2 linked regions of the Arabidopsis thaliana genome follow. The protein of the gene in region 2 interacts with the protein of the main gene of each other region in a pairwise test. Each region holds a gene or a part of one and is shown on either strand. Other genes may lie near its edges.

Evidence for each region.
Region 1: the proteins of AGG3 (region 2) and XLG2 come close enough for resonance energy transfer, tested with the Arabidopsis thaliana proteins (one study listed by BioGRID).

What each region holds. Positions count from the first base shown.
Region 1 is NC_003075.7:16,439,292-16,445,769, reverse strand, and holds XLG2 (extra-large GTP-binding protein 2), read right to left. Parts: upstream 4,685-6,478; 5' UTR 4,192-4,684; coding exon 3,151-4,191; intron 3,058-3,150; coding exon 2,920-3,057; intron 2,828-2,919; coding exon 2,723-2,827; intron 2,641-2,722; coding exon 2,482-2,640; intron 2,402-2,481; coding exon 2,254-2,401; intron 2,141-2,253; coding exon 1,905-2,140; intron 1,797-1,904; coding exon 1,633-1,796; intron 1,525-1,632; coding exon 930-1,524; 3' UTR 764-929; downstream 1-763. Other genes in the region: AT4G34400 (AP2/B3-like transcriptional factor family protein), read right to left, coding at 361-447; AT4G34380 (Transducin/WD40 repeat-like superfamily protein), read right to left, coding at 5,448-6,478. UniProt on the Arabidopsis thaliana protein: Guanine nucleotide-binding proteins (G proteins) are involved as modulators or transducers in various transmembrane signaling systems. Binds GTP with specificity. Plays a role in the root morphogenesis by regulation of the cell proliferation.
Region 2 is NC_003076.8:6,978,437-6,983,918, forward strand, and holds AGG3 (guanine nucleotide-binding protein subunit gamma), read right to left. Parts: upstream 3,728-5,482; 5' UTR 3,332-3,727; coding exon 3,137-3,331; intron 2,970-3,136; exon of another isoform or gene 1,844-2,969; coding exon of another isoform or gene 1,802-1,843; coding exon 1,749-1,801; intron 1,674-1,748; coding exon 1,629-1,673; intron 1,529-1,628; coding exon 1,484-1,528; intron 1,296-1,483; coding exon 878-1,295; 3' UTR 721-877; downstream 1-720. UniProt on the Arabidopsis thaliana protein: Guanine nucleotide-binding proteins (G proteins) are involved as a modulator or transducer in various transmembrane signaling systems.

The sequences.
Region 1 (6,478 bases), on a different chromosome or scaffold from region 2:
TCATCAACAGAAAAAGAAAACAAAATCTGAGCAAAACTACTTTATACTTTGATGAAATTTAGTTCCAGTAACCAAACATATCCAGTGTTAAGTCCATAAATTAAGCTGATTCATACAGAAAGTTTAAATCTTTAGTCAGAAAAAGGAAACCAAAGGGTAGGAATAAGAGCAAAACCCTAGAAACAGAAAAAGCAAAATCTATAGAGGAAGCTAAATGCAGATAAACACAGTGTTTGTTTCATAAAAACCATCAGACATAGTTCAAAGAAACCACTAGGCTAAGAGAATCTACCCAGTTCAAGAATCGTTTGCTCATGAACAGATAAACCTGAAAGAAGAAACCTCGAGAGAAAATCTTACCATGAACTCTGAGCTGAAATGGGAGACGAAAACAGTGAAGAAACGTGGAGGGAGCTGGAAATCATTGCTAGCCATTGAAGAGGCCATCTTGGATCTGTGTGTGAAGAGAGTGAGTGAGAGAGAACGAGTGAAAGAGAAAGAGAAAGAGAAAGAGAGAGAGAAGAGTAAAGAGAAAAAGTAAAGCTAAAATGTTGTATGAAGAGAGAGTACCTTACCTTGACGCTTGAGTCAAATCAACGTTTAAGTTTTTGCAGAGAAAGGAGGTACAATCCTCAGACCCTCGTATTCTGCGTGGCCATTTCAAATTATTTTCTTTTAAACGGTTTGATCTCCCAAACTGAACCGATAATTTATTGCTACTCCGGTCCAGTTCAACCTCAATAACCGTATAAGTAAATGTCTGTTAAACCGGGAAAATTCACTTTATTATTTCTCTATTTTTTTTCCCCTGAAAAATCAATCACATGAATGTATCTTCACACTACTACATATACAACAAACATACACACAGAGAGAGAAACAAACTTATGTAATTTCCACAAAGAAAGAAAGAATTTTAGGAAAAAATATCAAGAGGACGAGCTGGCCTCTATGCTAGTAGTAGACATCTCTTGGAACATGGAAGTTTCTTCAACATGCCACTTGAGAATCTCTCTCGCATACCTCAGTGCATTGTCCACAGTATCACTCTCCAAGCTCACTTGACAAACAAACAATTTTGGCTTAAAGCTCCTTCCACGCATATTTACGGGTTCCAAGATTGAGTCATAGAGTCTCTTGAACTTATATCCAATGTAATGGAAAGCACGCTGAGCCATTGGAGGGTTGTGTCTGCTCGTCTGGTTCTGGCTGATCAATGGGTTGAAGTCTTCAAACCACTCACAGGTTCTTAGAGGAACCTCTTCGATCTTTTCTTCTAGGAGATCAAATTTGGTTAGAACCAAAAGAAACCTTTTGTTAGCTAGGCTCGGGTGAGTCACCATGTTCTCGAAAAGCTGTTTGGTTGCAAGCATCTTGTTCACAATATTCCCCTCACCGTCTTCTATGTTTTCTGCATAGTCTGTTAGTGAGACACAAAATATCACCAAGTCAGCGTCTTCAAACATTTCCAGCAATTTCCAGTTTTCACCAAGGCTTCTCGGATTTAGCCGGATGAGTTGGTACCTAAAGAGAGAGAGAGAGAGAGAGAGAGAGAGAGAGAGAGAGAGAGGGTAAGTTCAACGGTTTTTCATATAGCCGGAATGCAACACAAGGAAAAAGAACAGAACTAACTTCATGTCTGTATCATGTTGATAATCGCTCTCAAGAGACTCTTCTTGAGAAGTTGATGGGAATGAGAAGTCCACACAAGAAAGTCCTTCCATAGAGGAGAGTCCTTCCGCTTGCAATATGTCCATATCAGAAGGATCGTATTCTGATCTCGAGATCTCAAGAATCTGAGAAGAAACAAATTTGGGTCAGTCATCTTTTTCCCCTTAAACAAAAGTGTTAAGGTCCTGAAAGAGCGTTTATATATGCAAGCAGGCAACTTGATGTAAACTTACTCTTTCAAGAAAATAAACGGCGTTCCTGGGAAGTGTATCGCGAAGTCTTTTGTAGGTGGCTTGAATAGCTGGTACTCTCCAGAGATCTGCAACGGTTTGAGCATTCTCACGGCTTGATGGTGGAAATATCTTCAGGTTTCCGTCTTCCTTTTCTTTCAAAACCCAATCTGAAAAATGTTTTAGTCTCGGGTTGATCGAGTTACCTGGTTTTGCACTGGTTTCATCTCCCACATTGCCTAAATCCCAAGAACTCGATCAGTCTTCCTCAATAATCAATTGTTAACTGATGTTTGTATTAGAATATGAATGCATTCTTATTCTAATAGTTTGTACAGTCAATAATAATTACCTGAAGACTGGTCATTGCTCATCTCTTTTTCAAATCTTTCATGTGCCTCAAGAACCATTGCCAGATAGGTATAGAGATTTGTTTGGATTATGAATTTGATTCTTTCACGGTCTTCTAAAGAGAATGAGACGTTGTAGAGAGACCTTGCCTGAAACAGAAGAAGTCAATTCCCGATTCTTTACTAGATGTGAAACATTCAAGTGGGAGGCATTAAGATGAATAGCTCACTTGTTTGTAAATTGTAGTGGCGCCACCTTTTTCGCTACCAATCAAAAGAAGCTTGTTAAGCATCTTCTGCTCATATAAGGGCACATCATATGGTTCTACTGCAGACGAAGCCGGAGGAACTGGCAGAGAGAACACAGCGCAAGCAATTTTTGCTCTCTTCTGTAAAAATAATATCCTTCGTTGTCTTTAGTTTTATATTTAATGTTGTGAACGAGAAAAGCTGGTGATCAGGAAACCATACCTTACTCCAGATGTTCCCGATGGGATGCTTTTGACCTTCTTCTCGGTAAGAACCATCTGAATCGACCCAAAAATGAGGTTTTCCTTCACATTGCACCCCCGCCCACTACATCAAAGCAAAGAAGCGCTCAGTTCAGAACAATGACACATACACTAAGCATATTTGTTATCCAAAACAAAGGTGAAAAGCAAAAGAACCTTGAGCATCGTGAGCTCTGGCTTGGTTATTTCCCGGCCATTAATATAAATTTCAGTGTCTCCATTGCTTACTTTCTCACTGATGTATCCTCCTATGCTGTTGTTAGGACTTATAATCTGACTAGGTTTCTCTCCTATCTGATTAAATAAACACATAGAGGCTCTGATTTAGCTGAGCACTCAAAATACAATCCCGATAATAGATACGCAGACATATATAAGAAACTGTACCTTTCCCCAGTAGCCAGCAACCTTATCATACCAATAGTGTCCGGGTTTTAGCTTCTTGGGTGGATTTGGACATGTCTGCAACGTGTAAAGCTCATCTTCACTTAAAGGCTTGTCATTGACAATGATAAGTCGTGAAGGCAATTGATTCGCCTTGCAGGTGATCTCGGCATTCATGACTTGTCGAAGTTCAGAATCCGTGAGATGGCGCTTGAGCATTCTTGAACACTTTCCGAGACTTGCTCTCTTGGACTCATCAATCCTATAACCAATGCAAGCTTGACACTTTCTTCCTTCGGGCATCGCACCCATGGCTCTGCGCACACAGTTGAAACAGTATTTGGCATCGCAGACAATACAGACTTCCTTCTCAGTAAACCGGTTCCCCAACTGGCACCGGTAACACGATCCTCTTTTACCTTTCCTTTCAGCTCTATGCGTTGCAGCTATACTTTCTCCATCAGAAACATAGGAGCTCTCATCACATTCACTACTCTGAAAAGGTTCAACGAATCTCACTGCTCTAGGTCCCACATCCGAAACTCTGTCATCATCTAAGTGATCCTCCTCTCTCGCTGATGCAGACAATGGTGATGATGGTGATAACCGAAAATCAGCAGGACTTTTCACTTCTTCTGGTACATCCAACCTCTTTGATGATGATGATGATGATGAGCCAGAAACAACATCACGCCCTATCAAAACCACACTAGAACCAGCTGCAGAGTCAACGAAACCGTTCTTCTTCTCTATTCCAGAATCAGGTGGTCTCTTGGTATCCTTAGTCATAACGAGAGGTGCCACTGGGTAAGAGATACCACTCCGCAAGGAAGAAAAGGAAACGGGAAGAGCCGTAGGAATCTGATCAACTTCAACGGGAAGAGCTCGTGGCACATTAGCAATAAGAGGACCTTTATACTCACTGGCGAATGAATATTCGATTCGATAGCCACTACTTGTTTCATCATCATCGTCACTTTCTCGATTATCCCTTTTAGGATTCGGTGATGGGAAAGGTAATAACTTTCTTATAACTGCAGCCATCTTCTTACCCAATCAAGCACACATACAAACCCAAAAAAGCCCTAATTCCTAAAATTCCCTAATTTAGAAACTTAACAACTTATCCGAGAAAACGAGAATTCATGAAGTGATAATATACAGATCCTAAGCCATTAGTGGCTTAAATAATCAAATCACAAAGCGCGTGAAATAAGAACGCAACTACAGAAATATAGAAAAAATTGATCACAGAAAGCTCCTTTAGCTTAAAGAAAGAGACGAAATTTAGTTTTTTTTTCCAGGAAAGTGGCGATGGAAGGAAGAAAAATCAGCAAATAAATTTTCCGGGAAAAGGGAATTTGCAGAAGAAGTAAACAAAAAGAAGAAAGACAGAAAGATGGGTTGGATCGTATACACTAGTAAAAGACGAGGACTTGACAAAAAAAGGGGAAGACTTTCTCTTTGTTTTTTATTTTCTCTGCAATCAAAAGGAAAAATGAGTTATTTTCCGGGAAAATTCTTGCCGTCAACGCGGGTTAGGGGAGTTGAAAACGATGCGTTGCGAAAGGCGTTGATGGAGTCAAAGAGAGAGGGCAATTTCGTAAATATATCTTCGGTCCTGCAATAATGTTCGCATAACCCGAATTACACGGTTAATAGAAAACCGGAGGTGTTGACCCTATTTAAGTATTTATCAAAGAGAGGCGCAGAGACATATATGATGATCCCGGTTGTGGAAATGTTTTCGGTTAAGTGATTGAATAAGACTTTTTTTTTTTTGCTCATAAAGATAGATTAGGTTTAAATGGTAACAGTAAATTCACAAAGATTAGTAATTTCTAACAACTTTGGGTGGATATTTCCAGGTTGGAAAATCAATTAAAAAATATCAACATCCTATATTATAATAATATAGAAAGACTAATTCTAATGAAGAGGAAAACGACTCATCCAAAATTCCAAGTTATAAAGTTGCAACCACGACATAGACCACTAAAGAAAACAAATATATATGTTTGATTCGGTCTTTGTTCTTGTTATCTTACAAATTTATGGAAAATAAATAAATAATTCAATTTCGTTTCAAACATTTTTTTTAAAGAAAAAAATAACCAAAAAACTCATTACGTGAAAACCATTAACCCGACTTTGATTCTCACACCAGCTAGCGTGGCACAAACCTCTCCGTTGACTTAGTCATAAAAATGAAATCAATCCTCTGTCTCTTTCCCGGCGTGAATATGGCTCTCGTGACGACGTGACACTCTCGTAAATAATCACACTATGCTCCTCCACTCTTATTTTTCCACATTGCGTGAACTCCACGCGCCACTTCCTTCATGCGGAGACGAAGAGCTCTTCCGCTCTGAAGATGCTGCTGGCTCGTCCATCTCCTTCCACGTGGCCATTCTCTCCGACACGCGCCACACTTTCACCGACTTGTCCAAACTTCCGCTGTATATAATCCACTTCCGGTCTCCCTCGGCCACTGAGGCTTTTGCTCCCTGATGACAAGCCCGTTCCTCCTCCACGGCTAGGCACTTGACCGGCCCCATGTGTCCCGTCAAAACAGAGAGACACTGATGGGACTTGTCAGACGGGTCCCGCCTCCATACGCATATGTTCTTGTCGGCGGAACCACTCAACAGCAAGTTCCCCGCTATACCTAGACAAAGCACTGCGGATTTGTGGCCTTTGAGTATTCCGCCTGTGAATGACCGCTTTGAACGCTCCCAATAGTTCACTAGCCCGTCCGAAGAACCGCAATATACGATGGAAGATTGTGATTTTACGGCCAACGCCGTGACCGCATTTTCTTGCTTGAGCAAAACTTGAGCTAACGTATGTTTTGTTCCTTTGCCTTGCAACTCACGTTTCCACACTTTAACAGTACCATCTGCGGATCCCGTGAACACCAAGTCATCAAAACCGGACATTACAGAGTTTATCGCGTCATCGTGTGCATGTATCGATTCCAAACATTTTGAATCCGCGATTCTCCACACTTTGATTGTCGTGTCCCAAGAACTCGAGTACAACAATCCAAGCTCCACGTCCAAGCTAAGACTAGACACTGCGTCGTTATGCTTCGTCTTCACAGAGTTTCTGTTGCGGCGTACCTCCATGAAATGCTTAGGGTTGACGGAGCTCTTGACCATTGATTTAAATGTTGGCAATGTTCCAACCCGCTTATGTTTTCCTGGTTTTCTCTTCGAAACCTTCCAAATCCGGATCTTCCCGTCTTGATGGCCGGTAAAGATTCGGTCTCCGAATATCACAATGGCCTTGATTAGCCCACTACTGGATTTAAACCCAGCGTGTTCCTTCA
Region 2 (5,482 bases):
ACTACTACTATAACCCAGTGAGGAAATCGATTTTATTGCTTAACCTATCTAACTTTAAATGCAAGTAATTACAGGTTGATCCATAATTAATTACCAAATTGTAGTCATTTCTTGCCTTTATCCATTTTACCTTAGCTATTGAAGAAAATGGAGTTTCGTAAAGAAACAAAATTACGAAAAGTTTGAAAATTGAGCTGTATGCTGACACTAGGAACATGTCTCGTTTTATTTACCTGTATATGATTTTTTTTTTGAATTTTTAACTGCGAAATGGATTGTAAATTCTTGACATAATAACAACTATTCTATATTTCTATATATTTATATTTCTATCCATATTTCACCACATTTCACATCTGCTAAAATTTCTTTCACCGGGTAGCTATTGTTCGAACTAAAGCCGTAATTACTAGTCAATGTGCAAAGTGTGGTTTTACACATGATCCGCTGCAAATTAACAAATAAAAAAATTGGTGTGTTTTAAACAATTAAAATGAGAAATTTACACGTGATTATGGTCCATATATAACTCGTATACTAAGATAGGCCACTAATTTTTTTTCCCTATTATTGAGCCGGTCGAACATCAGAGTTGTGTGATTGCTTTGTATCTTTTTTCTTCGTTTTTTACACATAGTTTGTGTACATACTTTACATTAGTATCCCACGGCTAAAACCCAAAAAAAAAAAACATATCCCATGACAGACTCGCTTGATAGTTGATAGTAATCATCATTCATCACTTACAAAAAGACAAAAATATTCACAATTTTATTACAAAATCAAGAAAGTGTTGCTTCCTTTAAGAGATTAAGAAAAAATTTGAACAAAAAATAGAGGAAACAGCTATAATGATTATAATAATAATAAAGTTTAATTAGAAAGCTAAACAACAAGGATTAGAACATAGATTTTTACAATTGCAAAAACAACAAGAACAAAGTCGTACCTTGGGACAACTAAAACAAGATGACCATCTGATCTTGCAGTTGCAGCTGCAGCATGAGCTCTTCTTTTTATTCAGACACGACGGTCGAGTGCAACTGCAACTGCGGAAACAGCTGGGAATGCAGCAAGACATGTCCGGACAAGAACACCAGCAACCTCGGAAGCATGAACAGCTCGGGCAGCTTAGTCTCGGGCAACAACAAATGTTTGAGCAGCATGACCCGTCACAGCATTTGGACCCTATACAGCTGCAAGATGTACAGTTGCAGCACTTGGGTTTCCTCAGATGGCACGAACATTTGGATTGGCAGCAACAGCAGAAACTCACCAGGCTCAAACATGGGCCACTGCATTGAGTTAATTAATTAGTATCACTTTATTCAGATAGCTACACATATCAGTAATTCTAGCAAAATCTAAGATTAAAAGCATTGGCTAAAAACATTTCTTACTAGTTGAGGTCTTATGCAAATTTTATATAAAATTGCGAAAATAAAATATTTTCAAAATATAATGTTCCAATTTAAATGCTTACCAGAGCCACTTCCAGAACCGGAAGGATCTTCGACTTTTTCGTTGTCTATTTATATGAGAAGACAAAAACAGCACAACGGAATTGTAAGAGCGGGCAAAGTACGAGAAAAGTGTGAAGTCATTGAGTGAACTAGAAATACGCTTACGCAGGGATCAATGGGTCAGAATTTGCAACAACAAAATCAGAGACTCTGCCACAACAAAATATTTCTTTTATCAATAAACCAAACTGATAAAAACTGATAGAATGTTTTTAAAACACTCACTCTTTGATGCATCTAGATGCCGGTTGTACGCCTTCGATGAATTTAATTTCGCCCTGATCATAACGACATTCGAAATATTGGTTAAGAAACATCATTTCATTAATCAACCAAATTGTATTTGCTTGGTTAAAAAAAGAGAAGATCTAAATTAAGTAGACACTAATGGGACAAAACAAGAATTGCATATTAAACTAAACATATACAGTGTAAAAAATAATTTAATTACAACCAATTATATGCACTATAGAAAAAGTAATCATAGAGGGGGAAATGAGAAAGCAACATGAGGAAAAAGGTGACCAAGAATTGGTCCTTTCAAACGCAGATAGCAATAAAGACAAAAGCTTTCACAAAAATTGATTGATATGGCAAAGCAAAACAAAACAAAATCAGCAATGGAAGCTAACCAAATTCAATATATTTTTTAGATCTTTCCCTACTTTGCTTCTAATGCTTTTCTTCTTTATCTTTATGTATTTTTCCCTTTAATACTCTCTTTGACTAAGCACTCACTTTCATAGTACACATGCACGAACACATTAGGCCTCAGTGATGCAAACAACTGAGTAAATGGGCGTCTCATCGGTCACTTCACACTACAACATGATCACATTTTTTTTTTTTACCTTTAACATTTTTTTTACTTTTTTTTTTTTATGTATCCTTAATTTTAAAACAGAATGTAACTACTAACAATATTCTATAACCCAAAAAAAATCCTGATTAACGAAAAGCATAGGAACCCAATTAATTTAGTTTTTAAAGAATAGATCCGTTGAAACTCCCTCAACTAACAAAAAAATTACTAAGAGAAATGATTCAAATTAATTTTCAATTAAGAAAACATGCATTAGTTTAAGTGGTTAAAGCCCTTGTTGGCATATCATAGTACTAGTTTGAATTTAATTAGATATAGAAATAGAGAAATGTGTCTGATGACAGAAATTAATAATTCTTTTTGGGAGCATCAAAGAGAACAAATATAAATTAAATGTCTTGGGTTTCTATAATTGCTGTCAAAACATAACACAACGGTCCAGAGTCCAAACCAACCTGGATATAGTAGGGACCAAGTTTTAACACTCTTTTCTCACAACAACCAAAAATCAAATAGTACTACAACTGGATTATTTAGTTATACAAGAGAGGTTAATTAGCATTAATTAATTTACTAATCAGAAACTAATACTAGTACCAATTTTTTTTGAAAAAGAGAGAGTAATAATAATAAAAACAAAGGAGTGATGAAATTCAAAATATTGGGACACTTCCTCAGAGTAATCAAAAATGGCACAGATTTTATGAATAAAATAAGAATGAAAAGGACTGTTTTTAAAATAGTAGTAGTAGTAGTAATAAAATAAAAGTATTGAGAGAGAGAGACTTGCCTCGAGAAAACCAATCTCTCTCTCGAGCATCTGAACTCTCGCCGCCTCTCTGCGTTTCCCGTACAAATCTGGATACTCTGGTGGAGACTTAGGACGAGGCGGTGGTAGAGACGACGGAGCAAGAGACGATGAACTCACTCCACCAGCAGCTGATTCTTTTCCTCCTCCTTCGCCACCGCCAGAAGGAGCAGACATTTTCGGAGAGAAATGGTTTGGAGTGTCTCAAGAGAGAAACATGCAGTGGTGTTATTACTTAGGAGAGAAGTGAACCAGAAGAAGAGAAGAGGAAGCGGCGAGTGAGTGAGAAAAACAATGCAAAGAAGAAAGAAAAAGAGAAAGAGAGAGAGATGAGTGTGTAGTAGTAGAGAGGAAGAGAGAGAGGTGGGTGGCAGAGGAAGTAATTATAGCATCTGACAAGGATTATTACTTACCTTCCTCTGCCCCTTTTAAGGCTCCGTGTCTCTGTTTTTTTTAAAACCTTAATTATATTTTTAATCTTTAGGCTTTTTATTTAAACAACAAAAAATAATTCTTATTTAATGCAACTTTTTAAAGACAATAATGTTTTTTTTTTTACTAATTCATTAAATTTACACAGTATCTTGATTATGATTTTGGATGGTAAAACAATGAGCACTTAAAAGTATCTCAATAGATGCAAAATGGAGTTCTCATTATTGGTTCTCTTAAAAAAGAGTTGAAAAATAAATCAAAATGGATTAAAAGAGAGAGAGAGCTGTCTCTTTTGAGAGAGTTTTTGAGAGAGATGAGAGACGATGATGTGGTGCCTTATCATTGGTTAATTGTTTTTAACAAAAAAAGCAAAAAAAGCGTGAAAGCTTCTCCTGATTCTATCTTGATCATTGTTTCTAATCATGTCGATGTTTTGACTTACATTGCTTGGAAACTCTCTAATTTTCAGGTGAATCGAGTTCTTGGATCTGGTATACTAATCTTCTCGGTTCCGATTCTTAATCGCAGATCATCTCGATGTTAATGCTCTAGATGTAAAGGTCAGCTTCTATCTAAATTAGGGATTTGTGTAATAAAGCTGTGCTTTTTTTGGTTATAGACTGCGATTAAGGAGTGATTAGCTTGCTTTTATATGGTTTAGTCATTAGTGTGATAAAAATCTATGCTTCTGTTGTTTAATACTGCAGCTACAGAAGTGTCGAAGAGTTTCACATAGACTTTCATCTCAACTACTTATGGTTTTTTGCCTTATTCGTTTTCAGGTTATCTTTGTGTGAAGAAGTTGCAGGTTTGGTTTGAAAAATTGCAGCTTTTAATTTTTTGAGTTATAGATTGCAGGTTTTGGTGAACTAATTTGCATGTTTTGGTTTGAGAAATTGCAGGTTTCTGCAAGGTTTGGTTTAAGAATACGAAGCAGCACTACCTTCTTTCCAATAACTGAAAGATAGTGAAGATGGAGGTTGAGTTGTAGGTTTCATGAGTTGCAAGTGTTTAATGAGTTACAGTTTTTTCTTATCAATGATTTGAGACTTTGAGTAGTTGCAGGTTTTCAATTTGAGACTTTGAATTCATGTATCAATATTCCAGTTTGTTTTCTGCAATGTTTCAGCCATATCTTAACAAAGTTTAAAATCTTGAGATAGTTCTTTGTGAGGCAGAGGAAATTATTTCAACTCAGATATTATCAGATGCAAAGATGACAACTAATCTCTCCCTAGAGACCGACCATATCATGATTTTATTACACTAATTGGTTGTTTAACAACAAAATCAACTGAAATTTTCACACTATTACAACAATTTCAACATCAAACATTTCAACATTTCAATTTCAAAATCAATAGAATTTTTTTCCCTGAGAACTCCACAAAGAGAGATTACCATTGGACTTTACAAAATTAAAAAAAATAACATAAGTTCTCATCTCTTCAAATTCAAAATTTTATTCTTAAAAAAATGGTGAGAACCCAATAGAGGGCTCTCACTATTGGAGATGCTCTAATGATACTATAATTCTGATTCGAAATTGCATAACTCAAGATATGTTGGAAAAGCTAGTCACTTTTACTATGTGCAAGAATGAGATAGTTAAGTTTCAAATAATGTTTTAGCTTCAAGTTACATCTACCTAGACATGTTATACAGGTAAAATAAAATAAACATGTTATGTAGGTAAATAAAACAAAACAACAGTTTACTATATGTTTTTATAAGAAAAAATAACTATATGATCTCATATGGAATCTGAATCTATTTCTCGATTATTTTTGAGTTTTTTTTTTTAATTTTAAATCAAGGCATATGCGCAAAAAAAAAAATTGTATTTGTTATATTATGATAAGACCGGACAAAAAAATTAGAATGAGAGCAACT